4 linked regions of the Elephas maximus indicus genome follow. The protein of the gene in region 4 interacts with the protein of the main gene of each other region in a pairwise test. Links are inferred from orthologs where the notes say so. Each region holds a gene or a part of one and is shown on either strand. Other genes may lie near its edges. The genes, in order: RBM10, FAM133A, KAT7 and CEP70.

Region 1 (7,500 bases), on a different chromosome or scaffold from region 4:
CAGAAGCATGAAAGGGAGCCCAGATGTTCAGACTTAGGGAGCTAGGAGAAAGTCCCTGGAAAGAAACAAAGACAGCCAGAGCCAGAGAAAAGTCTCCTACTCCATCTGCCAGGTCCAGAGAGAAAAGAGTCTGAGACAGTAAGCCCCTGATGCAAGGAGACGGCCTATTCCCAGAAAGAAAGTGAAGTGGGAGGAAAGAAAGACTTCCTGTTTGAGAGAGAGACACAGAAAAACAGGGAAGGAGAGAAGGCAGGGTAGAGAAACAGAGTTAGAGACCACTCAGATTTTGGGTAGAACGGAAGAAACAAAAACAAACTAAACTGAGCCAGTTGTCATCAAGTCAATTCCTACTTGTAGTCATCTCAAGTATGTCAGAGTAGAATTGTGCTCCACAGGGTCTTCAACGGCTGGGTTTTTTTTTGTTTTTTTTTTTTTTTTTGGAAGTAGATTGCAAGGCCTTTCTTCTGAGGCACCTCTGGGTGGACATGAACCACCGAACCTTTCAGTTAGCAGCCAAGCAGAAAGGTGCATAAATCATAAATCTAGACTCATCAAAAGAAAGGCTGAAAGAGGGAAGACAGAGAAGGCAGGGAGAAAAACAAATACTCATCCTCAGCAATAAAAAAGCCCTGCTCTGCTCCACCATCCTCAATCCAAGGTCTCCCTGGCCCTTCTTCAAACACAGGCAATCCCAGTGTGGTAGCTTGTGTCTAAAGATGACTGCCATCAATTTCTTCCTAAGTGCTACTTCCCCATTCAGAGGAGCCCTGAGCCACCTTGTAAAAAGCCCAGGCTATTTTCTGCTAGAGAGCGGCCACATGGAAGAAGACTCATGTGCCAGACAGGTGAGTGAAGAAGTCATCTCGGATGCCCAGCGCAGTTGAGCTGTCAGATGACTCCAGGCCCAGCCACCATCTGACTGTAACTACCCAAGGACAGTCTTTGGAGGAACTACCTAACTGAGCCCAGTCAATCCACAGGACCATGACAGATAATAATAAATTGTTGTTTTAAGCCACAAATTTTTAAGGTGGTTTGTTACACACCAAAAGATAACCAAAACACCCAGAAACGGCTGCAGTGGCCTTTTAAGGCTTGTGAAACCCCCACCCCAACCCCCCACACAACAAAAGCAACACTAGCCAGTCCGATTTTCAGTCTCTTTAATTAGGTGCTCTGAGGAGAGGGCAGGAAGGCAGGTGGAGTGGGTGGGAGGGTGGTGCTTCGTAAGCCCCACTTGGCAATCAGTCAGTCCTCTTCCTCTGGCAGCTGGATCTTGCTGGGGTCAAAGCAATTGGATTCCATGATGGGGAGGCCATTGGCCTCTCGGTACTTTACAAGCCTCTCAGCTTCCCTGCGGGCCCACTCGTGCATCCTGGAGGCAGCAGCAGCAGGGGGTAGATGTGAGGGAGCCTCACTGGACACCTATCCCTCATTTTAGCTCCCCATTCCCCAACAGTGCAAGGACGGGATTCCGGGCAGAATCCCCTTCAACCTCCACCCCTGCCTCTGCCCCTCACCCATCCCACTCTCTTGGACACCCCATGCACCTGTAGTCAGGCAGGTAAGCCACAAAGGTGCTGCCAAGGACTAGGACGATGGAGAAGCCAAAGAAGAAGACAACACGCATGTTCCAGAGGTCCACAACAGGATCCTTGTCATAACCATGGGAGTCTGGGTTCTGTGGCAAGGAGAAGGAGGTATCAATGAGGGCTTCCTGCCATTCCACAAAGTCTCATGCTGGCCCTGCATAACCTTGTTTCTGGTCTCACGTCAGATCCATCACTCCTCCCTCACCACATCCCTCTCTTTCTATTCTTAGGACATGGCAAGTTCCTTCCCACCACAGGGCCTTTGCACTTGCTGTTACCTCCCATGGAAACTTTTCCCTGAGATCTGGTCATGGCTGGTTCCTCCTCATTCAAGGTTTCGGCTCAACCATCACGTCCTTTAGGAGGCACTCCCTAGTCATCTTGTCTATTAAGTTAGGAAGCATAGGAAATTGCCATTTTATAGGTCAAAAAACAGTTGAATATTGGCAATTTCCTATGGTTCAACCTAATAAAATAACCTATCTATAAGTCACTCCCCATCCCTTTATCCTGCTTAACTTTCTTTCTAGCATTCATCATTATTTGAAATTATATTCATTGTTTACCAAAGCAGTGTACCCTCAGATCCTCTGTATCATATTATCTTATGTTATTATTACTTTATACTATCATCTTCTGATATTTTACATGTTTATTTTCTGTCTTTCCCACTATCATGTAAGGTCTATGAGAGCAAGGGCTTTGCCTGATTCCCATACTGCTGTATCCCTAGAGCCTTGAACTGTGCCTGACATAAAGCAGGGCTTTGATACATATTTACATAATGAATGAATAAATGAATAAGCATCCTACATATCCACGCCCCTTAACCAGAGGTTAGTATTGATGAGGTACCTATTATGGGCCAGGCCTTTTCACATATATAATCCTCACAATATCTCAGTAAGGTGGAAAGTGATGAAAATAAACCCTGGTGGCGTAGTGGTTAAGTGCTACGGCTGCTAACCAAAGGGCCAGCAGTTCGAATCTGCCAGGCGCTCCTTGGAAAAAAGTTCTACTCCGTCCTATAGGGTCGCTATGAGTTGGAATCAACTCAACGGCACTGGGTTTGGTTTTTTTACCTTGTTTTGGTTAATGCTAACTGAAGGAGCCCTGGTAGCACTGTGGTTAAGAGCTGGACTGCTAACTGAAAGGTCAAAAGGTCAGCGGTTTGAACTTACCAGTCACCTAGCGGTAGAAAGATGTAGCAGTCTGCATCCATAAAGATTACAGCCTTGGAGACCCCATGGGGCAGTTCTACTCTGTCCTATTGGGTTGCTATGTGTGGAATCGACTTCATGGCAGTGTTTTTTTTTTTTAAATGGGTAATGTTATCTGGGTTTTTAATGTTAACTAAGTACTTACTAAGTGCCAGCTGACTCATTTAGTTTCAAGAGGCAGGTGTCCTATTACTTTTTCTATTTTACAGGCAAAGAAACTGAAGCACATGGGGTTAAAGTATTTGCCCAAGGTCACACAGGTGAGTAACCGTCAATGCTTGGATTCTAACACAAGCCACCGGATTTCAGAGTCTCTGCTATTAATACATCACAGTAGACCTGGCAGATCTAAGTTCAAATACCGGTTCCACCACTTACTCAGTTATGTGAGCAGAGGCAAGCTACTTAACATCTCTATGCTTCAGTTTTCACATCTGTAGAATAGGTGTATAATAGTGCCTACCTCAAAACAGGAAACCCTGGTGTCATAGGGGTTAAGTGCTACGGCTGCTAGCCAAAAGGTCGGCAGTTCGAATCCGCCAGGCGCTCCTTGGAAACTCTATGGGGCAGTTCTACTCTGCCGTATAGGGTCTCTATGAGTCGGAATCAACTTGACGGCAGTGGGTTTGGCTTTTTGGGGGGGGGGATTACCTCAAAATAAGGTTGTTTCGAGGATTAAACGAACTAATGTATACAAAGTGTTTAGCGCCACATAGATTCTTAACATTAATGTTGTTAATCCTATATTGCTTATACTGTGTTTTGATCGCTACCCATTTCAGGTTTGATTTTTGTCTGCAAAATAAGGTCAATCTCACCTCTGGGTCTGGACCGAGGATACCGGGGGACAAAGGCAGAAAACAAACTAAGCAAAATTCCCAAATCTTAGACGATTTCGTTGACTGCGCAATATCCAGCCACCTAATAATGTCCTCTAACTGCGCCCCGTCCTTCCGCCCCCGATTGACCCTCCCGATGTCCCGTTCCCCCTCCCTCTCACCTTCTCGTAGAGGTTTTCGTCCTCGAGATCCGGATCCTCCTGCGAGCGTATGGTCGGTTCCCGCGGCCGCTTCCCCGCGATGGCGGGTGGAGCAACCACAGCCCTGGAGGCGCTGGATTCCCAGCGGACACGGACAGTCGGGAGCCCTCGTAGCGCCGTTGCCGCCAAAAGGCGGCGAGCACACAAACCTAACAACCCCACCACCATGATTGTTCTGCAGCGTCTCGGAGGCGGGGACGGAAATGAGAGTTTGCGCAGCTGCAGCTGCCCCTAGCGCGATAATTTTCGCTCCGCCTCCGGCGCACCAAATAGGTCCCAGGTCAAATGAGGCTGGGCACTGAGTAACCCTCTTTCCCTCCCTTTGTCGTGGCTTTACGGGACCACCCAGTCTCTTATCCTCTCGATCAGGCTGAGAAATTTCTTATTGCTAGTTCTTCTCATTTCCTTGATGGAAGAAAGCGGTGACATTTGGGTGGATACAGTTCCCAGCCAATCTCACAGAGATTTCCCTTGCCCTTTGGGGAAGGGGACGGAGCTTCCGTTTGCCTTTCATCTTCAAAGGAAACCAACCTTCTAAAAAGCAGACCTTGCTGGATTGGCCAATAGCTACTCAACTTCTCGACTTGCGGGCGTTCGCATGGAGAGTGGGGAGGTGGCATACACTTGCCAATCAGAGGAGGCCAGGGCTGGCCGACAGCGGGCAGTGGCCAATAGCCGAGACCCGCCAGAGCGCGCTCCCTTAGTAGGTGGATGGTGGTCTAAGGGCCGGCTCCCTTCTCGTCGTCGCCATTTTGTGTTGGTGATTGCGGCTGGCTGGGAGTAGGCGGCGGTGAGTTTCTTTGGGGAGGGTAGCGCGCCTGGCGCTTCTCCCTTCCCCCTTCCTCGTCCCTTCTGCCTCCAGCCTCAGACTTGGTTGTTGCGTGGACCGGCTCAGGCTGAGCTGGGAGAGTTGGAGGAGGTGGCGACGGGCCGAGGTGATGTCTGGGAGCCCTCCCTTGACAGCCCGGACCGAGAAGGTGAGCGTCGACGCTGGTCGTGGGGGCGGAGGTAAGGGGCCGGGGGTGGGGTGGGGGCGTAGGGGTGGTGCTAGGGCGGGCTATGGGCTAGGGGGCCTGGAGTACGCACAGAACCCAGGAATTGCGTGCACTGTCTGAGCCAGGGAGGGGGGTGTTTCTCTTTTTTTTTTTTTTCCTTTTGAGAACAGAGGCGCGTGCGCGATTGGGAGACGGGATGGGTGCACGCGGGTTGGGGGAAGGGAGGGACAAATGGGAGTGGGTTACTGTGTCTGCGACGCTGGACTTAATGGGAGACGGGTGTCTGCGACTTTGGTTTTTATCCATACGGGAAGTGGTGTGCTGTTTGCTCTGTGAATCTGATGCTTCATTTGTCCATGGAGAAGTGTTCTGTGGCTCTGGTCCTTATTCCTTGCCGGGGGCGGGGGGGGGGTAATGTCTGTAGACTCTGGTCCTTATCCTTAGGGTGTGTGTCTGTAACTCTAGTCCTTATCCATGGGGGCTGTCTCTCTGATTGGCTCGAACTCACTTTGTGGGGAGGAGGTGCGGGGAATGTGTGCGTGATTATTGCCCCTTTTGGGAGGTTTGCATCTGTAGCTCTGACGCTCAGTCGTTGAAAGTGGTCGCAGTGTGTGATTATGGCCATATTTATTGCGGCTTCCTATCAGTGATTTTGACCCGTAATTATTTGGGGCCCCTATCTGTAACTTTGGTCTCTATCCGTTGTGGATTCTAGTGTGTGACTCTGGCTTCTTTGCCAGAGTCTTTTGAGATTTTTGTATCTAGCTCTGAGCCAGTGGGGCCCCTGGTTGTAGTTCTAATCCTTATCCATCTAAAAAAACCGGTGTCCTCTAGAGAGAGGTAACTGGTTCCCTGAGGCTTGTGGCGGAAGAGAAAATTTGTGTGTATGTGTACACACATGGGAGAGAGGTGTCGTGGCAACCTAGTGTTGGGCAGGGGCTGTTAACACCCGGCTTAGCTTAATTCCTGTTTAGAGGGTGGGGCCTGAAGAATTTGGGTACGTCCTGACCCCTGGCTGGGTCACATGGCTCTCAGGACTCCCTTAGTCTTCAAGGCAACTGTGAGGGTTGGGTGAAGTGATTTCTCTGTCCTGGCAGAATAGCACAGTGGTTTGGAACAGCCTCTGAAAGGCCCCCTTTTGCCTCTGAGAAAACTTGGGCTTAGAGCCCTTGGGGAGAGAGAGCTGTCTTGGGACCTGGCTGTGTGTAAGGCTCAGGGCTGATCCAGTTGCTGTGTGGGCTGAGCTGGCTGGGAGCCCAGGGAGTCAGCAGCTGTCTTCTTGCCAAGTTAGCACCTTCGCTACCCCCAGCAGCCTTTCATGGGATCTACCACCATGGAGGGGTCTGCCAGCATCTTGTTGGGGGGATGAAATGGTACCTAATGGGAACCTAAGACTCCCATTGCTGTGACTTGAAGTCTTGCCTCAGTGCCTTATGAACCTAATCTCTGGTCATTCAGCATTGATAGCACTCTGAGCTTGTCTACCAGTCTCAGATCGCAAAGCCGTGGTACCACAACCCCTTTACAACCCTTGAATCTACAGCCCCTGGGAATGTTCCAGGTCTCTCTGCAAGATGTCCCCTGTCTGATGAAGGCCTTGCTGTTTCTAGGGCAGTGGGCTCTAGCCTTATGTTTGTGGGGAAAGGAAGGAGCAAGCCAAGAAGGGGCTGTGTTCTCGCTTTGGTCCACAAGAGCAGTAGGAGTTGGGAAACAACTTATCTGGGCTAAGGGACAGCAGAGAGCCTTGAAAACTAGGGTTTCTCAAGGAGGTCCCCTCTGCCTCAACTGCCTTGACCCCTTTCTTCCCTCCGCTCTCCCCAGAGTCCCTGCAGGAGGCAGCATCACCCAGGCTGGCAGATCATGGTGGCAGCAGCGGGGGTGGCTGGGAAGTGAAACGGAGCCAGCGGCTGAGGAGGGGCCCCAGCAGCCCCCGCAGACCCTATCAGGACATGGAGTATGAAAGACGGTGAGTTATCCGCTCCCACCCCTACTAGGCAGCCTAGGCTCGTCCCCAGGTGGGAATTGATCCATGAAGGTGCTAGAAAGGGCCTTCTAGGCAGAGGAAACAGTAATAGATGATTGTTTTTTTGTTTTGTTTTTGGCACCTGTTTTGAGCCAGGAACTGTGCTAGGCTCTGGGAATGCAGTGGTGAATAAGACAGATATGGTTTCAGCCCTCTCTTTATTTGGGGGTCTCACAAGGAAGACTGCTCAGTTTATGGGTGATTACAGAACAGCATGATGGATGTCCTGATTAGATGTGAGGTTGGGAAGGGATCAAGAGAAAGGGAGGACTTGGGGCTGATGCCAGAGTTTCCAGCTTGGGTGACCTGGATTGGTATGTGGTGCCATTCACTACTGTGAGGACAGCCACTGCAGGAGGAGAGGCAGAGATTGGTATCAGATGGCTGTTGGGTTGTAAGTGCCTGTGGATGCACAGGAGAGAGGTCTGGACTGCGACTTGGGGTTTGGGAGGTGGGTGGGAGTGGGGCCTTCAGGGTCAGGAATTTGCCCAGGACAAATGAGGCAGATAGTGGGAGACATCAGGGACAGGTTGGGCTAGGGTTGGTGCTACTTGTCTTGGAACAGACTCACTCAAGGTTGGTGATACTTGTCTTAGAACGAACTCTCTCAAACAGTTATTTTTAAATTCTG
Region 2 (7,525 bases), on a different chromosome or scaffold from region 4:
ATGTTATCTTTATATGTTTGTTTTATTTTTTTTTCTTCTTCCTGTCCTATTCCAAACTTTTCTAGTGTGAATGATAAAGTATTGTTCCTTGAAAATCATCCAAAAAAAAAAAAAACTCCAAGTAGATAACTTTAGAATGAAAGCTGTAGTTTAGTCACATTTGTCCAAGATTATCTAGTCAATTGGGATAAATTTTTAAGAAAAAAAAAATTGTCACTGTGACAGAGAGACCATTTTAGGGGGGCTACATTTCCTCAAATGTGTCAAAACAGAGATATTTTCTTGTAGTCATACTTGCCTTAAATCAAGGCCAAAATTATTTTGCTATTAGGATAGGATTTGGCCACCAATTAATTTCTTTTCTAATCCTGTAGAAAAACAAGCAAAGGGCATGGATAGACAATTCTCAAATAGACAATAAACACAGGAAAAGGCTTTTAATCTTACCACTAAGTTTTTGGGTAATGTAAGAATACAAATAAATAATAATGTGAAATTAATTTGGAGATGTTCATAAAAAAATGTGAATAGTAGTGATTACCTCATAGTATATTTTGGGCTACTTTTAATTTCTTCTTTGGATTTCAATGTTGTTGTTGTTGTGTGCTGTTAAGTCGATTCCAACTCATATCGACCTAGAGTTTCCAAGGCAGATTGCCACATCTTTCCCCTTGGGAGCAGCTGGTAGGTCTGAACTGCTGACCTTTTGGTTAACAGCTGAGTACTTTAATCACTGTCCCACCAGGGCTCCCTGGATTTCCATGTACTGCTTGATTTTTTTTTCAATAAGCCCATATCATATTCATAAAATACAAAATTATTTAAAAGCAAAATAAAATGGCTCATTAATTGTTTGCAGAAAAATTCTGGTCAATGGATCAAAATAGAGAATTCAGAAATAGACTCAAGCAATTTAGTTAATATGATAAAGGTGATATTTCAAATAAGGGGGGACAGAAAGATTATCAAATAAATGGTACTAAAAAAACTGGCTAATAAAAATAAATTTAAAAAAATGGATCACTAGCTTATTGCTTACTCCTAAACACTAATTCCTGATGGTACAAAACATTAAAGTACTATAAAAAAATAACAACACCCATTAACAAGATGCCCATTATTGTTAAAAGATGTTGATCATTTGACATGAAACTATATCCATTAATACATCCATAATTGATTAATAATCCATAATTAAATGAGTAGTTACAAAACATAATACATTGTTGTATACATAAACCAGTAAATGTAAATAGGTAGGTGTTTATATGCACAAAGAAATTTCTGGAAGAATATGTATCAAAATGCTAACAGTGCTTATTGTTCATTGGTCGTTAAGATTTATGTTTTTACACAACTTGACCAAGGTAAATGATGACACTAAGAAGTACAGAAGAATAAGGGACAATTTTGGTAAACGCCACGACGTATACAATTTTGCAACAACAGTAAAAATAACCAAAAAATATGTGTGTGGTTACATAGGTAGATACGTATGCTTATATATGTATAGGTAAGCACATATGAATATATCGGTGCGCATGTATAGGTATTTCTGTAGGCAAATGTATATATACGTTTGTGTGTGCTGCATATATATTCACATATAAAACAAAGCACGTTGGGGACACAGTTATGCATGCTTCCTAGACATAACCAAATACCTCGAGGAACTGAGTTACTGGGTTTGGCGAGTAGAGTCTGAGGTCTTAAAAGCTTGGCAGTGGCCATCTAAGATACAATTACAGTATGGTCTCTATGCATCTGGAGCAAAAAACAAAGAAGAAAACCAAAGACTCAAAGAAGAAACTAGTCTACAGGACTAATAGTCTACACGAGCCACAGCCTCACCTACCTTGGGACCAAGAGAACTAGATGGTGCCAGAAGAACTACCACTAACGACCACTCCCAACCAGGGACACAATAGATGGTCCCATATAGAGTATGAGAAAAATGTAGAACAAGACTCAAATTCCTAAAAAAGACCAGACTTACTGGACCAGTAGAGACTAGAGGAACCCCTGAGACTACCACCCTGGGATACCCTTTAAGTTTGGAACTCAAACCACTCCCAGTGGTGGCCTCTCAGCCAAAAGGCAGAGTGGCTCATAAAATAAATATCACCCGTGAGTACTGTGCTCCTCTAAACAATCATCTAAATGAGACCTAAAAGTCAACATTTACCTTAGACCAAAGATGAGAAGGGAGGGGGGACAGAAAAAGCTAATTAATGAAAACAGAACAACCAGAATGGAAATAGTGAGAATACTGACACATCGTGAAAAGTGTAACCAATATCACTGAATAGGAGCCCTGGTGGCACAGTGGTTCTGTTTGGCTGCTAACCACAAAGAACAACAGTTCAAATCTACCAGCCAGTCCTTGGAAACCCTATGGGGTGGATAGCTATGGGCAGGAATTGACTTGACGGCAATGGGTTTTGAAATAATATGTACAAAAACTGTTAAAGGAAAACCTAATTTGCTATGTAAATTTTCTCCAAAAACACAGTAAAATATATTTTTTAAAGGTTTGTGTTTTTACTATCACTGCAATTTTCTATACTGGATTTTTTTCTTTGTAATGGTCATATGCTTTGAAGATCAGAAATAAACAATAAAAGTTAATTCATTCACAAATTAGAAAATAAAAGCGTCCCCATAACTTCTGAATTATAAAGCACAAATCCTATAACAAAAAATACAAAGGTTAGTATAATTTTAATATTTCTCCTCATTCGAAATGAATAGTTTAGTATATTTTGTATTTTTATTTACTTATATTCTATGCCCACGTTTAGATAGTGAATATGGTTAAGGGTAATTTTCTACACTAGTATGCCAAATCACCACTATTTAATTTAGATTTTTCTGTTGCCATAGAAATATCAAGCCATCTTCCAATTCAGTCTTTAAAAGACTATATGCTCTGAATTTTTATTCAAATACAGATGGGTAATTCTTGTCATTCATAAATATGGGCTAAATATGTTCCTTACCTTTCAATGAAAAGTAAACAGTTCTTTTTAGTTGTACCAAGGGAGCTGTTCTGTAGCAGAAAATAATCCTGTAAATAGAAATAAGAGATACCTGTTTTTAAACTTCAGTTTGCAAGTTTATTCACATATTACTGGATATGTAAATTATAATCTGGCATGGCTAGAACTTTACAATGTTAGAAGAAAACTGGTGGTAGATGACACTGTAAAGTATACCCTGATAGAAGATGCACCTTCATTAGCACAAATCCCCTCTTCCATCCTGCTACTCGTGAAACTGAAACCTGCTGCACACAAGCATAAAGTAAACCTTTTGCTTTTTAGTAGTACTACCTGACATTTGAATACCCCTTTGTTTTATCTCCAAGGTTGTTGCAAGCTTTGAGAAGTGCTACCCGTGGCAAGTCAGCAGCAAGGTTGGGATATTATTACATGCCAGCTTTAACAGAAAAAAAAAATACAGTAAAAACGGTGTAACTGACTCACGGCATCATGGGTGCACAAACCTTGTAGCTGGATATAAACCAGGCTTGCCAAACATCACAACAGCACTTATTAAAACTGCTACGTGGAATGCAATATGCCTGCTATCTAGCCCCTCCCCCCTTTGCCAATAAGCGACTCCCCCCCCTTTTTATCAGTATACAAATACATGCTCATAAAACATTTATAATATAGAAAAACGCAAAGTAAAGAGCTGTTTAAAAAATCATCCACAGTCACGCTACCCAATGATGCCATTTGGAGTATTTTCTTCCAGTCAAAAAAAATTTAAACAGATTTTTGTCAGGAGGCCCGTGAAAAACCAAACGTAATTTCAGGTTGGTTGGATGGAGAGAAGGACACGTCTCTCCCCTTGTTAGGAACTATGGCTGATTGATATTTTTACCCCATGTCTAAGCTTTTTTTTCTGAATTATAAAACTATAAAGACAGCGTTTTGAGGAGGGAAAGAAAAGTCTTGCAAATAATATGTGCCTCAACCACCTAGGAGCGTCTGGGAAGGTGGGCGGAGCCGGGTGGGAAAAACGTTGGGTTTGGTCATTCATTGGGTCTAGAATTTGTCAATCAAGGTTTCCCAGCAAATGAAGTGCGAAATAAAGGCACACCGGGAACGAAATTAACGGGAGATCTGGCTGCAAAGGGAGGGGGCTTGAGATCGGAACCGAGAAGAGATCTTGGGGTCTCATTCTGCGCCATTCGGCTGCGGCACCGCCTCCGTCCACCGCAGCTGCAGCCAGGAGAGGCCTTGCCACCGCCGCTGTCGCCCAGGCCTCCTCCCCTGTCGCTGACACCTCATCGGGGGTCACTGCAGCCCCCGCCCCGCCTACCCGAGCGCTCCTGCTGCTGCCATCGCTGCTGCCACTTCCACAGCTCGGGCCTTCGCCGCTACCGCCGCCGCCGCCCAAGCATCCGTGAGTCATTTTCTACCCATCTCTGGGCGCGCGGTCTCTGCAGTAGTCGCCACCTTAAGAGGTTTGCAGCCTTGCAACATGGCGGACACCTGTTTAAAAAAGGTATCGGAACCTGCCGCCCAGGGGGTTGCTGAAGAGGTGATGGCTAGCTCGTCAAGAGATCCTGGGGAAGAATCTGACAGCAGCAGCACTAGTTGCAGCAGCACTAGTTGCAGCAGCAGCAGTAGCCACAGTCGCTCACATAAGAAGAAGAGGGTACCTGGGCCTTCCAGAAGGGTGCGGGGGGCTCGGTCGGGTAACCATTTCGTGGATAGGCTGCCGCAGGCAGTTAGAAATCGCGTGCAGGCACTCAAAAATATTCAGGATGAATGTGACAAGGTAGACGCCCTGTTCTTAAGGGCAATTCATGATCTTGAAAGAAAATATGCTGAACTCAATAAGCCTCTATGTGATAGGCGATTTCAAATCATCAATGCAGAATATGAACCTACAGAAGAAGAATGTGAATGGAATTCAGACGATGAAGTGTTCAGCAGTGATGAGGAGGTGGAGGATGACACCCCTAGTGAAATGCCTGCCCTAGAGGATGAAGAAGAAGATGAAGACCCTAAAGAAAAGCCTGAGGTAAAGGCTGAAGAAAAAGAAGTTCATAAAGAAATTCCTGAGGCAAAGACTGAAGAAAAAGTAGATTCTAAAGATATTCTGGAGGCAGAGCCTGCTGTCAAAGACGATCCTAATGAAGTCCCCCAGGCAAAGGCAGAAGAAAAAGAACAGCCTAAAGCAACAGAGGCAAAGGCAAGGACTGCAGTAAAAGAGGCTCCTAAAAGAGTTCCTGAGACAAGGCCTAAAGAAAGAATTAATCTTAAAAGAGCTCGTAGGGGAAAGCCTAAAAAAGAAGATCCTAAGGGCATTCCTGACTATTGGTTGACTGTTTTAAAGAATGTTGACAAGCTCGGGCCTATGATTCAGAAGTACGATGAGCCCATTCTGAAGTTCTTGTCAGATGTTAGCCTGAAGTTCTCAAAGCCTGGCCAGCCTATAAGTTACACATTTGAATTTCATTTTCTACCCAATCCCTACTTCAGAAATGAGGTGCTGACAAAGACATACATAATAAGGTCAAAACCAGATCACAGTGATCCCTTTTTCTCTTGGGGATGGGAAATTGAAGATTGCAAAGGCTGTAAGATCAATTGGAGAAGAGGAAAGGATGTTACCGTGAGAACTACCCGCAGACGTACAACTGCTACTGGAGAAGTTGAAATCCAGCCAAGACTGGTTCCCAATGCATCATTCTTCAATTTCTTCAGTCCTCCTGAGATTCCCCAAATCGGAAAGCTGGAACCACAAGAAGATGCTATCCTTGATGAGGACTTTGCAATTGGTCAAATTTTACATGATAATGTCATCCTGAAATCAATCTATTACTATACAGGAGAGGCCAGTGGTAGTTTTGAAGATGGTAAAGATTATGGAAACAGGAAATACCAAAAATAAAAATAAGGCTGTCAGATTGTTCAAGAACCACAAAACTTCAAGAAGAAGTGAAGCAGGTTTATATAGCCTTGGGAAAAAAAAAAACCTGCTCTATATCCTGAACATTAGTATTCCTTACAGTTGTGTTTTCGTATTTTCTTGGTAGTCTATTTAAAAATTGTCCAAAAAAGTGTCTAAGTATTTTGCTTATTCTATTTAGCCTGTTGTAGTTTAATATTCTTCAAAATATATAGACTGCTATCAGTTATCTAGAGCATGTTAGTTTGGTGCTACAGAGTATTGATTTTTGTGAAGTCCTTTTGTCATATTTCTGTTAGATTTCAGCTGTGAAAACTCAGAATTGTTAACTGAGAAATATTTGCTTGGAAAAAAAAGTTCCTGAAGCACCAATGCAAGTGTTTTTTTTTTTTTTTTTTTTTCTTCTGCCTGGAAGACTAAGGGTTTAAGTCTGCTTGTACTACTTGTGTCTTCATTACTTTGCGGTAGAAATACAGTGCTTATACTAAATAGAACAGTGCATTGTAAAACCTGACTGTTTGAAAAAAGATTAGCATACATTTAGGAATGCCCATCAATACCATATATAATATGACTGTGAGCTTGTTTATGTGACATAACGGTCTGCGAATAAATTGAATCATAATGAAATCATTGTTTTCCACTGACTGTTAATATAACATGTTTTTAAAAGTTTCCTCATAGTGTGTAATTGTAAAGTTACTGAACACATTTTCTTTGTAATATGTTCTACTTTGCCTTTCACTGAAAATGATCACTTTACATCATTTGATACTTTTTCATGTTCTTTTATTGCAACCTAAAATAAATAAATGTGAAATAAAGTGTTTCATGTTATAAAAATCTAGCATTTTCTCCTAATTATGAAAATGTGCTGGTTAGCATAGAAAAATTTGGAAAATACTGAGGAAAAGAAAAATAAAAAAAAAAGATGATTATTAACATTCTGATGTATTTCCCACATCTTAGATCTTTTATTGGAGGATATATATTCAAGTAATTGGAGAAGTATTGGACAGGATAGGAGGAAGGTGAGAGTGAGGAGGGGAGGGGTGGAAAAAGAAGAGAGGGAGGGAAGAAGAGAGGGAGTGGAGGACAAGGGGAAGAGGGCAATGGGAGAAGGGAGGGGAAGGCAAAGGTAGCAGGGTGGAGGAGAAGGGAGAAGAAGAGATGGAGGGTGGAGAGAGTGGCAGGGAGGGGAGTGAAAGGGGTGGCAGAGGATGGAACTGGGACATTTGTCATTTTCACTTCCACATATATTTTCCTTCAAGACCTTCCAGTGAAGAACTGCGGCCTGAGGAAGACAGGATTTGAGAGTTTCTGGGTCCTAGTATAGGGTTGCAATGAGTCGGAATCGACTCGACAGCAGTGGGTTTAGTGGGTTTTAGTCATAAATTACCTAATATTCTTCCTAAATCCACCGTACATAGTTCAGTAACTCCCTTTTATCCCATATTAACCACGGTTTGCCCTTTTGTGTCTATAAATGTAATAATATTCCAACCTATGAACATACTGTGACATATCCAACCAATCACTTATGGTTGGATATTCAACTTGTTTATGAGTTACACAAAATCAGGAAGACTAGTGTTGC
Region 3 (7,757 bases), on a different chromosome or scaffold from region 4:
AGCTCTTAGGCCTTTGGGACAATCAACTATACTCTGTATTTGAAATATGTTGCCTCATTTTTTAGGAGTCCTTGGGTAGCAAAAACAATTAAGTGTTGGGCTACTAACTGAAAGATTGGTGGTTCGAACCTACCCAGAGGTGCCTTGGAAGATCTGCTTCCAAAAAGTCACAGCCATGAAAACCCTATGGAGTAGTTCTACTCTGGAACACATGAGGTCACCATGAGTTGGAATCAACGTGACAGCAACTGGTTTTTACCTGTCTTTTTACCGATAAGGGGAGTGTTTTAAGGGAATTTAGAGCTCCTGGGTGGTGCAAGTGGTTAAGTGCTTGGCTGCTAACTGAAAGGCTGGCAGTTCGAGTCCACCCAGAGGCGTCTCAAAAGAAAAGCCTGGAAAATTCAGCCATTGAAAACCCTATGGATTACAGTTCTACCCTGATACATGGAGTTGCCATAAGTTGGAATCAACTCTGTGGCAATTATTTTTTTTGTGGCTGGAGGCGTTTAGAGAGCTTACGAATGTAACTGAGAAAGACATAGATATGGTAAGAAAAAACACAAGGACAGACATAAATGACAGCCCAACTCACCTCAGGATGGCTCTCCTGCCATTCTGATTAGTCTCCCTCACAGCTGCCAGAAGAGATCTCTAAAATGCAAGTCTGATCATGTGACTCCTCTGTTTAAAATCCTTCACAGGTCCTCACCTCTAGAAGAGTCCAGGTTCCTTAGCAAGGCGTTCAAGATTCTTCATGAACTGGTTCCCAAAACCATTCCCACCTCTTCTTTTGGCAACTGCCCCAACTCCACCATGTGGAGTTGGTCACCCCTGCATACCATGCTGCTCCATATGTCTGCACTTTTGCACATGCTGTTCCCTTTACCTCAAAAGCCCCTATTCTCCATGTCCAATGGCAAACTTATTTGTCCTATGAAATTCCACTCTTTTCACAACTTCCACGAATCCTTTCCTAAGCCTTCCAGATGAAACGCCCACTTCCTCCTCTGTACCACTTCTGAATCTTGCTCAGCCTTCTATTTTCGTATGTAGTACTCTACAGTGTTTTGGAACTCTGAGCTTACTGGCAGGTCTTCCCTACTGGACTCCAAGATCCTTCAGGGGAAAAACAGTGTTTTGTCCATCTTGTTATGACTCAATGCTTGGTTTATAATGCCTGAATAATTACTCTGTGTCTGCTGAACTGAACTTAGGTTGAACAGACAAAAACAAACCATTGAGACTGTCCTGGATTGAATTGTGTCCCCCCAAAGTATTTGTCAACTTAGCTGGGCCATGATTCTCAGTATTGTGTGACTGTCCACCATTGTATGTGATTTTCCTGTATGTTGTAAATCCTATCATCATGGTGTAATAAGATGGATTAGTGGCAATTATACTGATGAGATCTACAAGATTAGGTAGTGTCTTAAGCCAATGTCTTTTGGGATATAAAAAAGAGAAGTAAACAGAGAGACATGGGGACCTCATACCACCAAGAAAGCAGTGCCAGAAGCAGAGCGAGTCCTTTGGACCTGAGGTTCCTGAGCTGAGATGCTCCCAGACCAAGGGAAGACTGATGACAAGGACCTTCCTCCAGAGCCGACAGAGAGAGAAAGCCTTCCCCTGGAACTGACACCCTGAATTCAGACTTCTAGCCTACTGGACTGAGAGAGAATATGCTTCTCTTTGTTAAAGCCATCCACTTGTGGTATTTCTGTTATAGCAGCACTAGATAACTAACACAGATAAAACAGATACCACGTAAATACATATTCACAAACATTAAGATGTATAACCATGATTAGGGTGAAAGAAATTATAAATAGCAGTAACAACAGCCATTTGTTGAGCAGTTATTCTATGTTAGGAAATGTACTAAGTGCTTTACAACAGTCATCTCTTCTATTCCTTACAACAACCCTGTGGGGTGGCCATTAGTATCCCCACTTCCCAGGTGAGAAAACTGAGGCATAGATCAATTAAAAAACTTACCCATGAGCAATACAGATAGAAAGCAGCAGAGATGAGATTCAAATCCAGATCTGACATCAAAGTCCTGAACTGGACAGTAAAAGGGCTGATAAATAAAATAAACAGGAGTTATGTTTCTAATTATCTGGCCAGGAAGGGGAGTGAGGAACAGAACATCTACCAATTGTACAAAGAAAAGTGTAACTATAGCAGCAAGGACAAAATCACATATCACTATATTCTCCTACCTTAAAAAAATAGCAGCAAGGACAAAATCACATATCACTATATTCTCCTACCTTAGGAAGAATAAATCAGGAAAAACTTTGAGAAGAAAGTAAATTTTAAAGAGAGTTGGGAGATACATCCAGGGAGGAAGAAAAGACTTTGTGAAGCTATAAAGGCAGGAAGAACGGTGGAGAGTGCCTCCATGAAGTCTTGTGGATGAGGATGGGCAAGGGGGCAACTGGTCAAAGGCTTTGAAACCAACCTCGATTTCTGCTTTGAACACTAACTGCACCACGATGAAAAATGACACACGAAGGAAAAGTTATATTTGGTTGAAAAAGAAAAAAGTTTCTAACATCCTCCCCACCCCCATTTTTACCATACCTAGCTGGTCTACTCTCATCTTAAATCTTAAGTACATATTCTTTCCCTCAGAAATGTATTTCTAGCCTACCGGTATTAGTTTTTTCATCTTTCTGCCAGAGTGTACAGTTTTCTCGGACCAGAACTATGTCTAAATGAAACTGTAAACTCTTCAGCATCAGCTGCAGTTTTAAGAGAATCTAGTGCAGGCGCTTAACTAATGTTTAACATTTGGAATGCTGATATTTGTATTATGAATGGTTAAGTTAGATAAGGTCTTATTGTAAAATACAAATTTCCAGGGAGGGAATACTTCACCATTTTTGAGTGTTAAGATGTGTAACATCTTAGAGACTATAAAATTATAACAATACTCTGAATAGCAAGCATTTACTATGGGCACAGAATGGTCTAAGTACTAGAATCGAGATAGGTTCTTAACCCAAGAAGTCCTTACCACTAGTAGGAGAGCCAGACATCCAAAAGTGACCTCAGGAACACACCAAAACCATTGCCATCGAGTCAATTCTGACTCACAGCGACCCTGTAAGACAGGGAAGAACTGCCCCATAGGGTTTCCAAGGCTTTTTTTTTTTTTAATCTTTATGAAAGCAGACTGCCACATCTTTCTTCTCCCGAAGAGTGGCGGGTGGGTTGAACTGCCCACTTTTCAGTTAGCAGCTGAACGCTTAACCACTGCCCCACCAGGGCTCCTCAGGAATACACCACTAAGTGCAAAATAACAGAGTAGTAGTGTGAAATAGAATGCTTAAGTGCTGAGGGGATACAAAGAAGAAATGTGAGCTACTTTCAAATAAGTTCTTATGTGCAGTTCAACCTAAGCAGGTCATTCAGAAATATTTATGCTAAATACTAAAATTCTAAATACTAGAAGCTGCCAGTGTCAACACCAGCCCACAACATCCCCAAGGAGAATGCTGGCCTAAGTGTCTGGAAATCTCACTCTTTAGAGCCCTCTGTTAGCACATCAATCCGAAGTTTACCTTCCGTTGCTTTGTTCTTTAGCTCTGCTCCTGGGGGAAATCTCCATCTTTCCCGGCCTCAGGTTGAAACTTGGGTCCAGGGTTCTAACTTAATGACTGAGCTAGCCCAGATTCCACCCAGTCGCTCTTGGCCAAGCCTTGGTCCTCTCAAAGGTTTTCCTCCAGAGAGATTCAATCTTCAACGCCTGCTCTCCACTTTCCAGCCTTTTCATATGCTCTTCCTCTAGCCTTTTACCCTTGACTAACTCCTTCCTAGCCCTCTCCAAAGTAGGCCCTATTATTATTATTTAAGATACTCATGCCGTTCTGAGATCCAGCTTCCCCAAAATATTCTTTCCACTCCCACCCTACCCCAACTCCTGGCTCAGGCAGCTGAATTTCTAGAGGTCGCAGTTCAATGCTTCTCCGACTCTTGTACGGCACCCTCACATCCACGTCGTATTTTCACTCGTGGTCACCCAGCGCTCTCCAAGCCAAAAATAGGGGAGGAAGGAGGTGGGCGCTCACCACAGAGCTAAATTGGGAATTCTGTGGAGCCACGGCTTCTGGAGAACGGTTTTGTCTCCTCCCGCGACATGAACGACAAACTTACTTGCAGTTCGCCAAGGGGAAGGACAATGTCTCCTTTACTAGACAGGAAACTTCCTGATGATGGAGGCTACCCTTTCATTCCTTTTACAATCCCCCATTTCCACCTCTTTGACACACAGGACAGCTCTTAAAACAGAAAGTTCTTTATCAAAATATCCCTTCCCAACTTTGAGTTTATATAATAAACGGAAACGTCCCTTAGCCAATTAGGCAACGAAGGGGTTAAATTTCAACAACCTGATGGATTCTGGGGATTTCCTACCTTTTCGCCATTAAATTAAAACTACTGGGAAGGAAAGCTTTGCCCAAGATAAAGATGAAAACCGTTAACGTCTACTCTTAGGCTTCTGCCCAAACAAGAACGGCTACCCAAGCCTACAAACGGCGCCATTAGCCTAACCAAAAATGGCTGGCCCCAGTTTCCACCAGCTATTTTTTATGCCCCTTTCTGCCCAACTCCAAAATGGCGCTCACTAGCCTCACCAAAAGAGGCGAGCAACACGCCCACCTCCCAGCACCCTCTTTGGCCCGAAACGTCAGGTGACGCGAACCCCAGCCGGAAGTGAAGGAAAAAGCGCCTCGGCCCGCGGCGCCTGCGCAGAAGACTCTAGACGCTGTGAGGCAAGAGGCACTTGGGATCGTCCGCAGAATTGGGACTGCTACAGAGGCCGCCACGGAGCCCGCCGGAGCTACCGTTCCTACTGCTGCCGCCGCCGCTGCCCGAATCGGAACCATCGGGCCGCAGCCGCCGGCAATGCCACGAAGGAAGGTGAGAGAAACGGGAGGGGAGGGATGGCGGGTTTCTAAGGCCAGTTGATTGAGCAACGTGACGCAGTTGGCCACGCCTCACAGTGGTTGGGTTCCAGCTTCCTGCTCCCTTGAACTTAGCTCAGCGGACCTCTCTTCTGGCCATACCCGACAGAAAAATGTGGGCCCGACCCTGGCCTCGGCCTGTGCTTGTGACTATTCCCGCCCTCTACTTGGCTGGATCGGAGGCGTTCTTACCGTTAATTGGCCGCTGAAACGTCTGGGAGCATATTGATTGGCTGGTGACACCGCCTGTTAGGGCTCAACGGTCACCTCCCCGCGTGCGGGAGCGGTGCCTGGACCGGCCCTACCGCGCTGCAACTGGCTGTAGGGAACGATCCCTCCTCTCTTCATTGGCTGCGTCGGGCCAATCTGTCCCGTGGGGGCGCGGTTTAGCAGGATTTCTATTGGGTGGCACGAATCCCCTCCTTTCCGGGTGGCGATGCTGTTGGTGTAGAGGCGGGGTTTTTGAGGACTTTTTTCCAGGTGGGTACAACAAAGCTGAGCGCTGGGTCTTAGGGAACCAGGGCGTGCTCCCAAGGAATACCGCTCAAGCTTGTTGAGTCTAAGACGTATTTTTCATCATTCGCTTTGCTCGGTGTAAGGGACTTAAAAGATGGTCTAGGAAACCCCTCCCCACACACTTTTTACATCTGAGTAAACAAAGTCTAGTGGTGTGCGCAAAAGCTCTCCGCAATGGCAGAACCAGAAAAAAAAAGTACACGACAAATCTAATTCAGCAATTGTTTATTGACTGCTTTCTACATGCTGGTTGCTAGAGATTCAAAAATTAATTTGACATGATCCCTGGTAAGGAATACAGACATAAATAACTAAAAGGATCTAGTGCTTGCTCTGTTTAGAGAAATACGTGGGAAGGAGGTGAGGGAGCAGTTAAGTCTGCTCTGGAGAAAGATGGAGGAGTACGCTGCCAAAGAGAAGGGCAGAGTTCCAGGATCAAGCCAGGGAGGAGTGGTCAGAGATGATCAGGAACTCAAATATCCGGGTAATTGGACTTGATTAAGACTCCACCTTCGTCCCACTGATTCTCTGTGACACTTTCCCATGGCCTCAGTTCACTTCTGGGCTGAGTTCAATCTGATTACCCTTAAGCTGGGTGATAGTCTTGCTTGTTTTTGCAAGAATTTTTATAGAGGCTTTCAAATAAATGTGTATAGTTTATGATGTCTCCTAAAATGATCTGAGCTGTAGGTGGTATTTATGTTAAGGCTCACCAAATGCAGGAATAGTATCAGTACCTTGCAATAGGTCCACAGTTCCCTTTTTTGCAATTCCCAAATACAAAGAGCAAGTTTTTTAGTAACTTGTTTGGTGACAAAGCCTGCCCTAAACTGTCTTGAGGCTATTTATGGTTTTTATGTATCTATTTAGTGTGATTGTATAGTTTGCTGTGGAAATAGTAATGTGTTGCTTATAGAGTATTTGTAGGATCTGTGCAAAAAGATTTTCCTTCCCAAAAATCTGTGCAAAAAAAGTATTTCTTTTCCCACAATCTATAAAATTATGAATTTGAAACAGCTGGCCCCCAGAGTTTTTAATAAAGGATCCAGGACTTGTAGTTTGAAGCTTTTTTTGTTTTTAGGAAGTATTCTTTTCTTTCTGGTTTAATAAAGGGTATGGTGTTAATACTCATTTGATGAAAGTTATCCTTATGGCTAATTACACCTGAGGACGCTAATAATTTACAAATGATCATTAATTGAAAAGATGATAAATCACCTCCGTGTTCGAATACCTTCTAATCTTCATTTGCCAGCTGCCTTTTTCAGCACTTTGGATATTCATGCAAAGAAACTTCAAGGCTAGATGACATAGAAGGAATTTGTATCTTTTTCTCTTTCTGCTTCAGTTCTCTTGAGATCAGTGCTGTGGACCATGCTATTTTGTTTTTTTGGTTTTACATTGTTTTTTAAAGTGTGATAGCTATCAATGGAGACTTTGAATAAAAGCTACTCTAAACTGAAATGGGGCCCAGCACCAACATTTTTCTCACTACCTTGAGCTTTCTGTAGGTGCATGGTTATGTCAGCTAGACCATTTTCAGTTGGGTATTTTTATTTCTAGTTTGTGGTACTGGTCTCCAAAGGGACTTGTTTCAGGATTAGTGATATTACACTGTTACCTGTCTGTTTTCATTTACTTAACAATGGCACATTACTTGTAGGTTGTTCCATATAAATGTCCTAAATAAAGGGAAATTGGCTCTGGGCTGGGAAGGGAACTGTTTGTGGAATCCTTTCTTAGGTTTGAACTTGATGTTTTCAGCATCATGGTACATTTTATTTCCAGTGTTAATACAGACCCACAGAGTAAATGCTTCTGTACTAATGTCTGGATCTATGGTGTTACAGAGGAATGCAGGCAGTAGTTCAGATGGAACCGAAGATTCCGATTTTTCTACAGATCTTGAGCACACAGACAGTTCAGAGAGCGATGGTACTTCCCGACGATCTGCCAGAATCACCCGCTCCTCAGCCAGGCTGAGCCAGAGTTCTCAAGGTAAAAGGCTTCATGCTTCCTGACCACTCCTCAGAGTTGACTGACTGGTTAGCACATTATTTTTCTAATAATGTGGCAACTGGTCTCTTGGCTTGGTGCAGATGACAGAATCTGGTGAACTACAAGGAGAATAACTGTACAAGTATCAGGTCATATGCAAAAGATGGAGCATAGTGTTCTTAAAAGGTGTCATTGGCCATGCCCTGGACATCTGAAACAGCTAGAAAATGCTTGAGCTCTGGGTGTCTTAAGGAGCCTTGGTGGTACAGT
Region 4 (7,720 bases):
ATGGGGAGAGATGCAGCAGCAGCCTGGCTAGCAGCAGCAGACTGTGGTCACTGGCAAAGGCTCTGACACACTGCCCTCTGAGGCTGGCCCAGCAGCCAGAATACTTCACCCTGGGCTTGTTTCTAAAGCACTGATGCTGCCTCCTTTAACAATAATCATGTGGGGCTAGTGCTGGAAGGGCACGTGGAAAATTTTAAGTCTGTAGCTATCAGATGTTTGTAACATTTCCCTTTTATTTTGGTCTCCGATCATGCTGTTTAAAAAATGAGTTCAGAAAAATCAATCCATCAACAATTCTCTTTTCAAAAGGAGGTCCTGTGATAACAGACTATCGTGAATAAGAGTGTTTTTGGCTTTTCTCTTAAAATAAGTCTCTAGTGTCTATGGGCAAGTTGGTTGTGGGGCAATGTAGGAGGTTAGAGCAGCATCTATGCACTTCCTGGAAAACTAATATTGGGAAAAGTCAAAAGCAGGATTGGCCTAAATGAGTAAACTTTATACTTGAGTTCAATAATCTCACAATGGCTTTATTGAGACTTTTTTTCTTTCTATAACAGTCCTGTCAAGTAATCAGTGACTACTCCTACCTCAGGTGTCCTGGGCCAAAGGAATAAACCAAAAACCTGTTGCCATCAAGTTGATTCTAACTCATAGCGACCCTATAGGACAGAACAGAACTGCCCCATAGGGTTTCTAAGCCTGTAATTTTTACAGAAGCAGATTGTCACATCTTTCTCCTGCAGAGCTGCTGGTGGATTCACACTGACAACTTTTCAATTAGCAACTGAGTACTTTACCACTGTCCAGGGCTCCTTGCCCAGGGAATAAGATGTAGGTGGAAAATTCAACTCAAACTGGAATATTCCCCCAGTTCCAGGTATCCTAGAAGCTATACCCAAAGAAGAAACAGTGGCACATGACAAGCCAGCTGAGGAATCACAGGTTGCCTTGCCTATTTTGAATGCAGACATCGATGCACCTTGCTGGTGAGCAGAACCTGGCTGTACTCTGGTGTCCCTGGGCAAAGAACTCCTCCAGGCTTCTTGGGCTAGGCCTAGATTTTTCTTCAAGCACAGTACTTTCCTAATAACAGGCCCTGTTAACATGAACCTTTCAAATTCCACAGGCCTGGGCCTACAACTTCTAAAGGGCTTTGGGTCTGCCTACAAAATGGGGGTAAATATAATCTCTGGGCTGTTAGGAGAACTAAAGACAGCGATATCTAAGGCACTTGTCAATAAATTATAACCTATTGGTCTTGTAAGTGATATCCAGATCCTCAGGTTTTCTAAGAAAATGTGATGTTTAATTAAACAGTACCTTTGGGTTTTTCCTTGACCAGGGTTTCCTTGTCCTAGCCCAACAACTCAGGATTGTTTCTCAGAAAAGGAAATTAGGGAGGCATCTTAAACCAGCCTTGTCCCATCTCTTGGAAATTTTCACTCTGGAGCCTTTTACCTTTCTCCCAATCCATTCTTTCAACAGGGAAATACAAATATGAAAAGTCCTTGTTCTCAGGGAACTTTCAATACGGACAGCAAATAAGGAATCGACAGAATAAGCAGAATCCCTGTAACATAATTTGCTTAAGAATTCAGTCATTATTCAGTCATTATTACATTATATACCTGGAATTGGGGGAATATTCCAGTTTGAGTTGAATTTTCCACCTACTTCTTATTCCCTGGGCAAGGAGCCCTGGACAGTGGTAACCTAGACAATAGGTTGATCCCTAATGTCTCTCAACTCTCCGTTCACCCTGCCAACCCCAAAGATGAAACAATCCTCTCCATTAACACCAAGCTGCAAGAAGAAATTACACAATGGGGCCAAGCACAGTATGCTTGTAATCTGCTGGGCTCTCACAACCTTTCCAGAATCCCTTCACATGTCTCTGGTCTATTGCTGGGCCCACTGTCCACAGGGACCACTCACTAATCTCCTCAGATGGCCTGTCAACAACCTTCCTCACTCTCTGCAGGCGACAATGTCTCCTCCTGAAACATTACTCAGGACTGCTTTTCATGCACTTATTCAACAAGTATTTATCAGAGTCTACTTTGAGGTGCTGTGGTGGTGCAGTGGTTAAGAACTTGGCTGCTAACCAAAAGGTTGGCAGTTTGAAACCACCAGCCCCTCTTTGGAAACCCTATGCGGCAGCTGTACTCTGTATTACAGGGTTAAAATCAACTCAAGAGCAACAGGTTTGGTTTTTTTTGGACTGAGTCTGGAGTCCCTGGGTGGGGCAAACCATAAAACTGCTGGGCTACTAACTGAAAGGTTGGAGGTCTGGGTCTACCCATAGATGCCTTGAAAGAAAAACCAGGCAATCTACTTTCAAAAAATCAACCACTGAAAACCCTATGGAGCACAAATCTACCCTGACACACATGGGGTTGCCTGAGTCAGCGTTGACCCCAGGGCACTGGTTTGGTGGGGTTTTTTTCCCCCTATGACTCTGCACTGTGCAGATGTGGGCAGCATAAGAGCGGGAATCAAACAGCCATGGTTCCTAGTGTCCTGGACCTCAGTCTAGGAATAAGTCATACGTTAAGCAAACATTACACAAACCATTACATACCTTGAAAACGACCGAGAAGAATCACAGGTGCTTCAAGTCTTAAAAACTAGAATAGTTTTCTTTAAAAAATGCTATCTGAAGAGTAATCTCAACACAAAATGGAAGTTAACTAAAAGAAGCAGTGTGGAGGAGTATCCCAGGCAGGGGAGGGAGCATTTGCAGAGGCCCTGGGTGAGAAGGAGTTGGAAGCATTTGCCTTTCTAAATGAATCCAAGTAGGCAGGGCCTAGATCATCTATGAGGCCTCCTGCCTACCTTCTGGAGTTTTAGTCTTGAAACTAAAGAAGCAAACCAGAGTCCATAAGGATTTCAAGGAGAGAATGCCAGGATCAGGTCTACCTACCCTAAGACTTCAGAGCAGGCACTGGATCAGATTTTGCCCACCAGATTGTCCCTAGCGTCCAGCCCAGAGCCTGGCACACCGCTGGCTCTCACTAGCATTTGTTGGTTGCATGAGGGGATGCAGTGCAGGACTAGGTAATGTTTCGCGTGCGGATTGAGGACGGTCTGTGCAGAGAACGTGAAATCTCCCGCTGAGGCGGCGGGCGGGGGTTGGATCGGTCGTGCGGTGAGAAGGTGGTGGCCTGCGCCGAGCGCCCCGGGAGACCTGCGCCGAGCACCCCGGGAGACCTGATGCGCGACAAACAGCCGCGCGTTTGGGACTTGCGCCTGCCCAGCTTTCAGTGTCCGCGCCGGCTGCGTCCGGTTCTCGGCGAACGGAGCAAGTTCACGCCGTTCGAGTGGCCGTGTCGGAACCAACCCAGTGCCTAGCGCGGAGCCCCCAAGGGCCTCCGGCATCCACCGCGCACAGGTGAGACCCGCGGCCTGGGCGGGACCGCGGAGGGCCTGGCCCACCCTCCACAGCCCGGGCGCCCCCGCCCGGGACCCTGGAAGCCCCTGTGGGCAGCCCCAGGCGTCCCCGCAACCCGCTGAGCCACGGCAGCGTGGGCGGTGGCAGCCATCTCCTGGCGGCTGAGGCCGCGGGCAATGTCTGTGCGGACCTTGGGACCCTGCGGGGTGAGGCGCGGGCCGCGCGGGGTGTGTTCTGGACGTTTCCCGTCGGCCCGGCGAAGGCCCTGGGCGGCCCTCGGCTTCAGGCTTCCGGCTGGCAGAGGGCGGGTGTGTGGCGTCGGTACCCAGCCAGGCCCGGCGCCTCGGGCTTTTTACTCAGACTGTAGAAATAGTATTTGTTGCCGTCAAAAAAATATAATAGAAAAGCACAAAGAAGAAAGCAAATCAACCGAATCACTGCTCCCCCGAACAACTCCTGTTAACATTTAGGTTTATTTCCTTTCAGTCCATTTTACCCTGTAAGCATGAAAAAAAAAAAAAAAAAAAGGCATGAGCAGGGTTTATTTTGCAGAACCTGGATCTTGTAAGTGCTGTAACTTGGCTTCCTTTGCTTAACGATACATCATGCGTATGTACCCACGGCTATAAATGTTTTTCTACATTCTTTTTATTCGCTGCACAAGGCTATGCGTTCATGTGTGCCAAGTTCACCACCACATCCGTCCCTGGCGCCTGGCATGGGCTGGACTGTAATTTACGTAATAGATTTCCTGATGGTGAACATACAGATGGTTTTCAGTTTTTAGCTATTAGAAAAAGCAGTTCGTTGGGTATCGTTCTGTCTGCATTTTTGAGCATGATTATTTGTGTGGAATGAATCCATGAGTCTTATGGCCATACCTCAAGAAAGTTATTCGTGTATCCATGCCTCTAGTAGCATTTGGGAGTATCTGGTGCAGAGAGCTACTTGACAGACTTTGCTAGAGGACTCAGTGCTTTGCTAAAGGCCAGGCACAGGATGTGAGCAGCACCTGTTTGTTGAATGGGTGACTTGCCTTATGACTGGCCTTAGCTGGAGCTTTTGCTGAAAAGGCAACTCTGAGTTATCTCAGTAATTACTCCTTCTCCTCCTGCTTTAAACAACACTGACTTAGGTTTAGTTTGAACCAATCACTGCAGTCCCCAGTACAATTAACCCCAAGTCAAGGTAGAATTCAGGCTGGGGTAGTTAAATAAACAGTGTTAGGTTGCTAAGGAAGGAATTTTAAAAGATTGTGCTGATGGGTAAATCACTAGATACTAAAAAAAAAAGACTTTCTCTGAAGACATGTAAAAAGTTTCAGGTGATATCTTCCCCATCAGTGAAAATAATGAAATTTGTTTTTTCTCCCTCTTCATTTACATTTTAAAATCTCTGTGCTAAAATAGAGGGATTTTTTTGTATTTATCATTTCCAGTTTTGTCACATAATCCTGAAAATTAAATGTATATATGCCAGTTATATAAGATAGCGACCTTATAGGACAGGGTAGAACTGCCACATAGAGTTTCCAAGGAACGAATGCCTGGCAGGTCCCAGCTGCTGACGGTTTGGTCAGCAGCGGTAGCTTTAAAAAAAAAAAAAAACCGAAAAAAAAAAAAAAACCGAACCCAGTGCCATCGAGTCGATTCCGACTCATAGTGACCCTACAGGACAGAGTAAAGCTGCCCCATAGAGTTTCCAAGGAGCGCCTGGTGGATTTAAACTGCCAACGCTTTGGTTAGCAGCCGTAGCACTTAACCACTATGCCACCAGGGTTTCCAAAGCAGGCATAAGAGAAGAGAGAAGCAGGCATAGCTGCTGAAAATCATACAGAACCATAGAGAATTTTTTAAGCATGTAGTTGGCTTTGGAGTGCTTTCAGGTCATTTAGTAGGCATTTAGTAACTATTTGTGAATAAGTGGATTATGTTTTGCTCAGGATCATATTTTACAGACCATCCAGAGAATCCCTAGTTATGGAGGAAGTAAGCTGTCTTTTTTCTGAGGATACTCTTAAACGAAAAATCAGTAGATGGCCTAAAGTATTTTAAAGCTTGTGTAAGTAAATACCAATTTCTGTGCTTTAGTCTCTGCTGAGATTTTAGAATAATTCTTCATATTCATATTTAATTTTACTTTGTTTCAGACCATTAGCCCAAATCTCAGTGTTTTTTTTTTTTAAGTTCGCTAGAAGATTCACCAGTGGGCATATTTTATGTGTATTGATAAAAGGTCAAAACACAGATGTCAGTCTGTTAATCACTTGCATTTATGGCTATTAAGAGTGTGTTCTGCATGTTCTCCCCTGATTCTGAGCCAGGAGAGCAATTCCAATTAATTTTTAAAAAATTATTTGAAAAATACATGTAACAAAACACTTGTCACTTTAACTAGTTTAAGCATATAATTCGGTGACATTAATTTTGTTCACCATGTTGTACAGTCATCACCACTATCCATTTCTAAATGTTTTTCACCACCCTCCACAGGAACCGAGTACCCCTTAAGCCATAACTCCACACTTACCCTCCTCACAACCCCTCCTTACCAATAATGAACTTTTGTGTTTGTCTACTCTAGATATTTCATACAAGTGGAATCAGACAGATTTGTCCTTTTGTGTCTGACTTATTTCACTCAGCAGAAGTTTTTAAGGTTCATCCATGTTGTATCATCTACTTCATTTCTGTATATATTCCATTGTATGGCTATATCACATTTTGTTTCTTCATCTATTGATGGACACTTCGGTTGTTTCCACCTTTTGGTTATTATGAACACTGGTATACGAGCATCTGTTTCTTTTCCCCCTTACGATTTTTTTGGGTGTATACTTAGGAATGGAGTTGCTGGGTCATATGGTAATTCTGTATTTTACTTTTTTGAGTAACCGCCAAACTTTTCCACAGCAGCTATACCATTTTATATTCCCACTAACGATGAATGAGCGTTCAGTTTCTCCACATCCTCACCAATGCTTGTTATTGTCGTTTTTCTGATAATAGCCATCCTAGTGCCTGTGAAGTGGTATCCCGTTGTGGTTTTGATGAGATTTCCTTAATGACTGATGATGTTGAGCATCTTTTCACATGCTTATTGGCCATTTGAATATATTCTTTGGGGAAATGTCTGTTTAAGTACTTTGCCCATTCTTTAATTGGGTTGTTTGTTCTCTTATTGTTGAGTTGTAGAGTTCTTTATATATTCTGGATATTAAAACCTCATCAGCTACATGGTTACCAAATATTTTCTACCATTCTCTAAGTTGTCTCTACATGTTCTTAATAAAATCCTTTGGTGCCCAAAAGTTTTTAATTTTGATAAAGCTCAATTTATTTTGTCTTTTGTTGCTCATGCTTTCATTGTCATATCTAAGAATTCACAATTAATTTTTCAAGTGCTGAGATTTTTAGAGGGTATAAAAGTAACAGAAATCACAAAACAGTGAAACTTGTGGGATAAGAAAGAAGCCCAAAACAGAAGGCAGAGTTAATTTGGGGCATTTTTTTGCTAAACATTAAACATTATTTGTTATATTTGTTAATGAGAAACACCCTATATGGTGGGATCATGTGAAAAATTTTCTTTACTCCAGATGCATTATTGGAGCCCTCTACAGCCTTGTTAGGGAAGTGGATAGTAAGAGCCTACAGTTGGCTGTCGGGGTGGGAGATTAGCATTTGGAGGTGTGTCTCTTTACTCTTATTTCCCCATAAAGACATAAAGAGGAAGAGAAACTAGACTAGGTGATCTCATAGGGCTCCCCCCGCCATGATGAAAATTGTGCGACTCTTTAATATTTGGTTTGTGGTTGTTATAAGATATTGCTCACTTTGATCCTTACATAAAAAGTGCTTTTATTGGCCAATATCTACCTTTGAAAATTTATAAAATTTGAAAAAAACTTGAAGCATTCCAGCCTTTTATAAGCCAGATATGCCATTAAGTTTTCCAGGAATAATTATTAAATTTTTTTAGTCTTTGACTTAGAGTAATACATAACCTGGACAAGAAAAATTAAAATACTACGAACTTTATATTAAAGCAACTTTTTGTCTTATTTAATTGGGCCTATAGAAAAACAAATAAGCAAAGAGGGTAATATAATTTTTTTTTGTAATTTGCTACATTTGAATTTTATTTTTTCTTTTTTTTATTGTACTTTAGATGAAGATTTACAGAACAAACTAATTTCACATCAAACAGTTAGTACACACATTGTTCTATGACATTGGTTAACAACTTCATAAAATGTCAGCACTCTCCCTTCTCAACCCTGTGTTCCCTATTACCAGTTTTCCTGTTCGCTTCTGCCCTCTAGTCCCT

Evidence for each region.
Region 1: the proteins of CEP70 (region 4) and RBM10 interact in binary tests that used the Homo sapiens proteins (3 or more experiments, as listed by UniProt). The two-hybrid records come from large-scale screens. The link is inferred for Elephas maximus indicus from reciprocal best matches to the Homo sapiens genes CEP70 and RBM10.
Region 2: the proteins of CEP70 (region 4) and FAM133A interact in binary tests that used the Homo sapiens proteins (3 or more experiments, as listed by UniProt). The two-hybrid records come from large-scale screens. The link is inferred for Elephas maximus indicus from reciprocal best matches to the Homo sapiens genes CEP70 and FAM133A.
Region 3: the proteins of CEP70 (region 4) and KAT7 interact in a two-hybrid assay, tested with the Homo sapiens proteins (2 studies listed by BioGRID and IntAct). The two-hybrid records come from large-scale screens. The link is inferred for Elephas maximus indicus from reciprocal best matches to the Homo sapiens genes CEP70 and KAT7.

Annotation. Positions count from the first base shown.
Region 1 is NC_064846.1:124,663,577-124,671,076, reverse strand, and holds the start of RBM10 (RNA-binding protein 10), read left to right. Parts: upstream 1-4,481; 5' UTR 4,482-4,789; coding exon 4,790-4,859; intron 4,860-6,667; coding exon 6,668-6,812; intron 6,813-7,500. Other genes in the region: NDUFB11 (NADH dehydrogenase [ubiquinone] 1 beta subcomplex subunit 11, mitochondrial), read right to left, coding at 1,249-1,375, 1,551-1,681, 3,813-4,019. UniProt on the Homo sapiens protein: Binds to ssRNA containing the consensus sequence 5'-AGGUAA-3'. May be involved in post-transcriptional processing, most probably in mRNA splicing. Binds to RNA homopolymers, with a preference for poly(G) and poly(U) and little for poly(A).
Region 2 is NC_064846.1:66,543,382-66,550,906, forward strand, and holds the start of FAM133A (protein FAM133A), read right to left. Parts: upstream 3,019-7,525; 5' UTR 3,000-3,018; intron 1-2,999. Other genes in the region: NAP1L3 (nucleosome assembly protein 1-like 3), read left to right, coding at 4,492-5,910.
Region 3 is NC_064837.1:43,821,623-43,829,379, reverse strand, and holds the start of KAT7 (histone acetyltransferase KAT7), read left to right. Parts: upstream 1-4,744; 5' UTR 4,745-4,914; coding exon 4,915-4,929; intron 4,930-7,339; coding exon 7,340-7,487; intron 7,488-7,757. UniProt on the Homo sapiens protein: Catalytic subunit of histone acetyltransferase HBO1 complexes, which specifically mediate acetylation of histone H3 at 'Lys-14' (H3K14ac), thereby regulating various processes, such as gene transcription, protein ubiquitination, immune regulation, stem cell pluripotent and self-renewal maintenance and embryonic development.
Region 4 is NC_064844.1:38,735,661-38,743,380, reverse strand, and holds the start of CEP70 (centrosomal protein of 70 kDa), read right to left. Parts: upstream 3,010-7,720; 5' UTR 2,924-3,009; intron 2,823-2,923; exon of another isoform or gene 2,582-2,822; intron 1-2,581.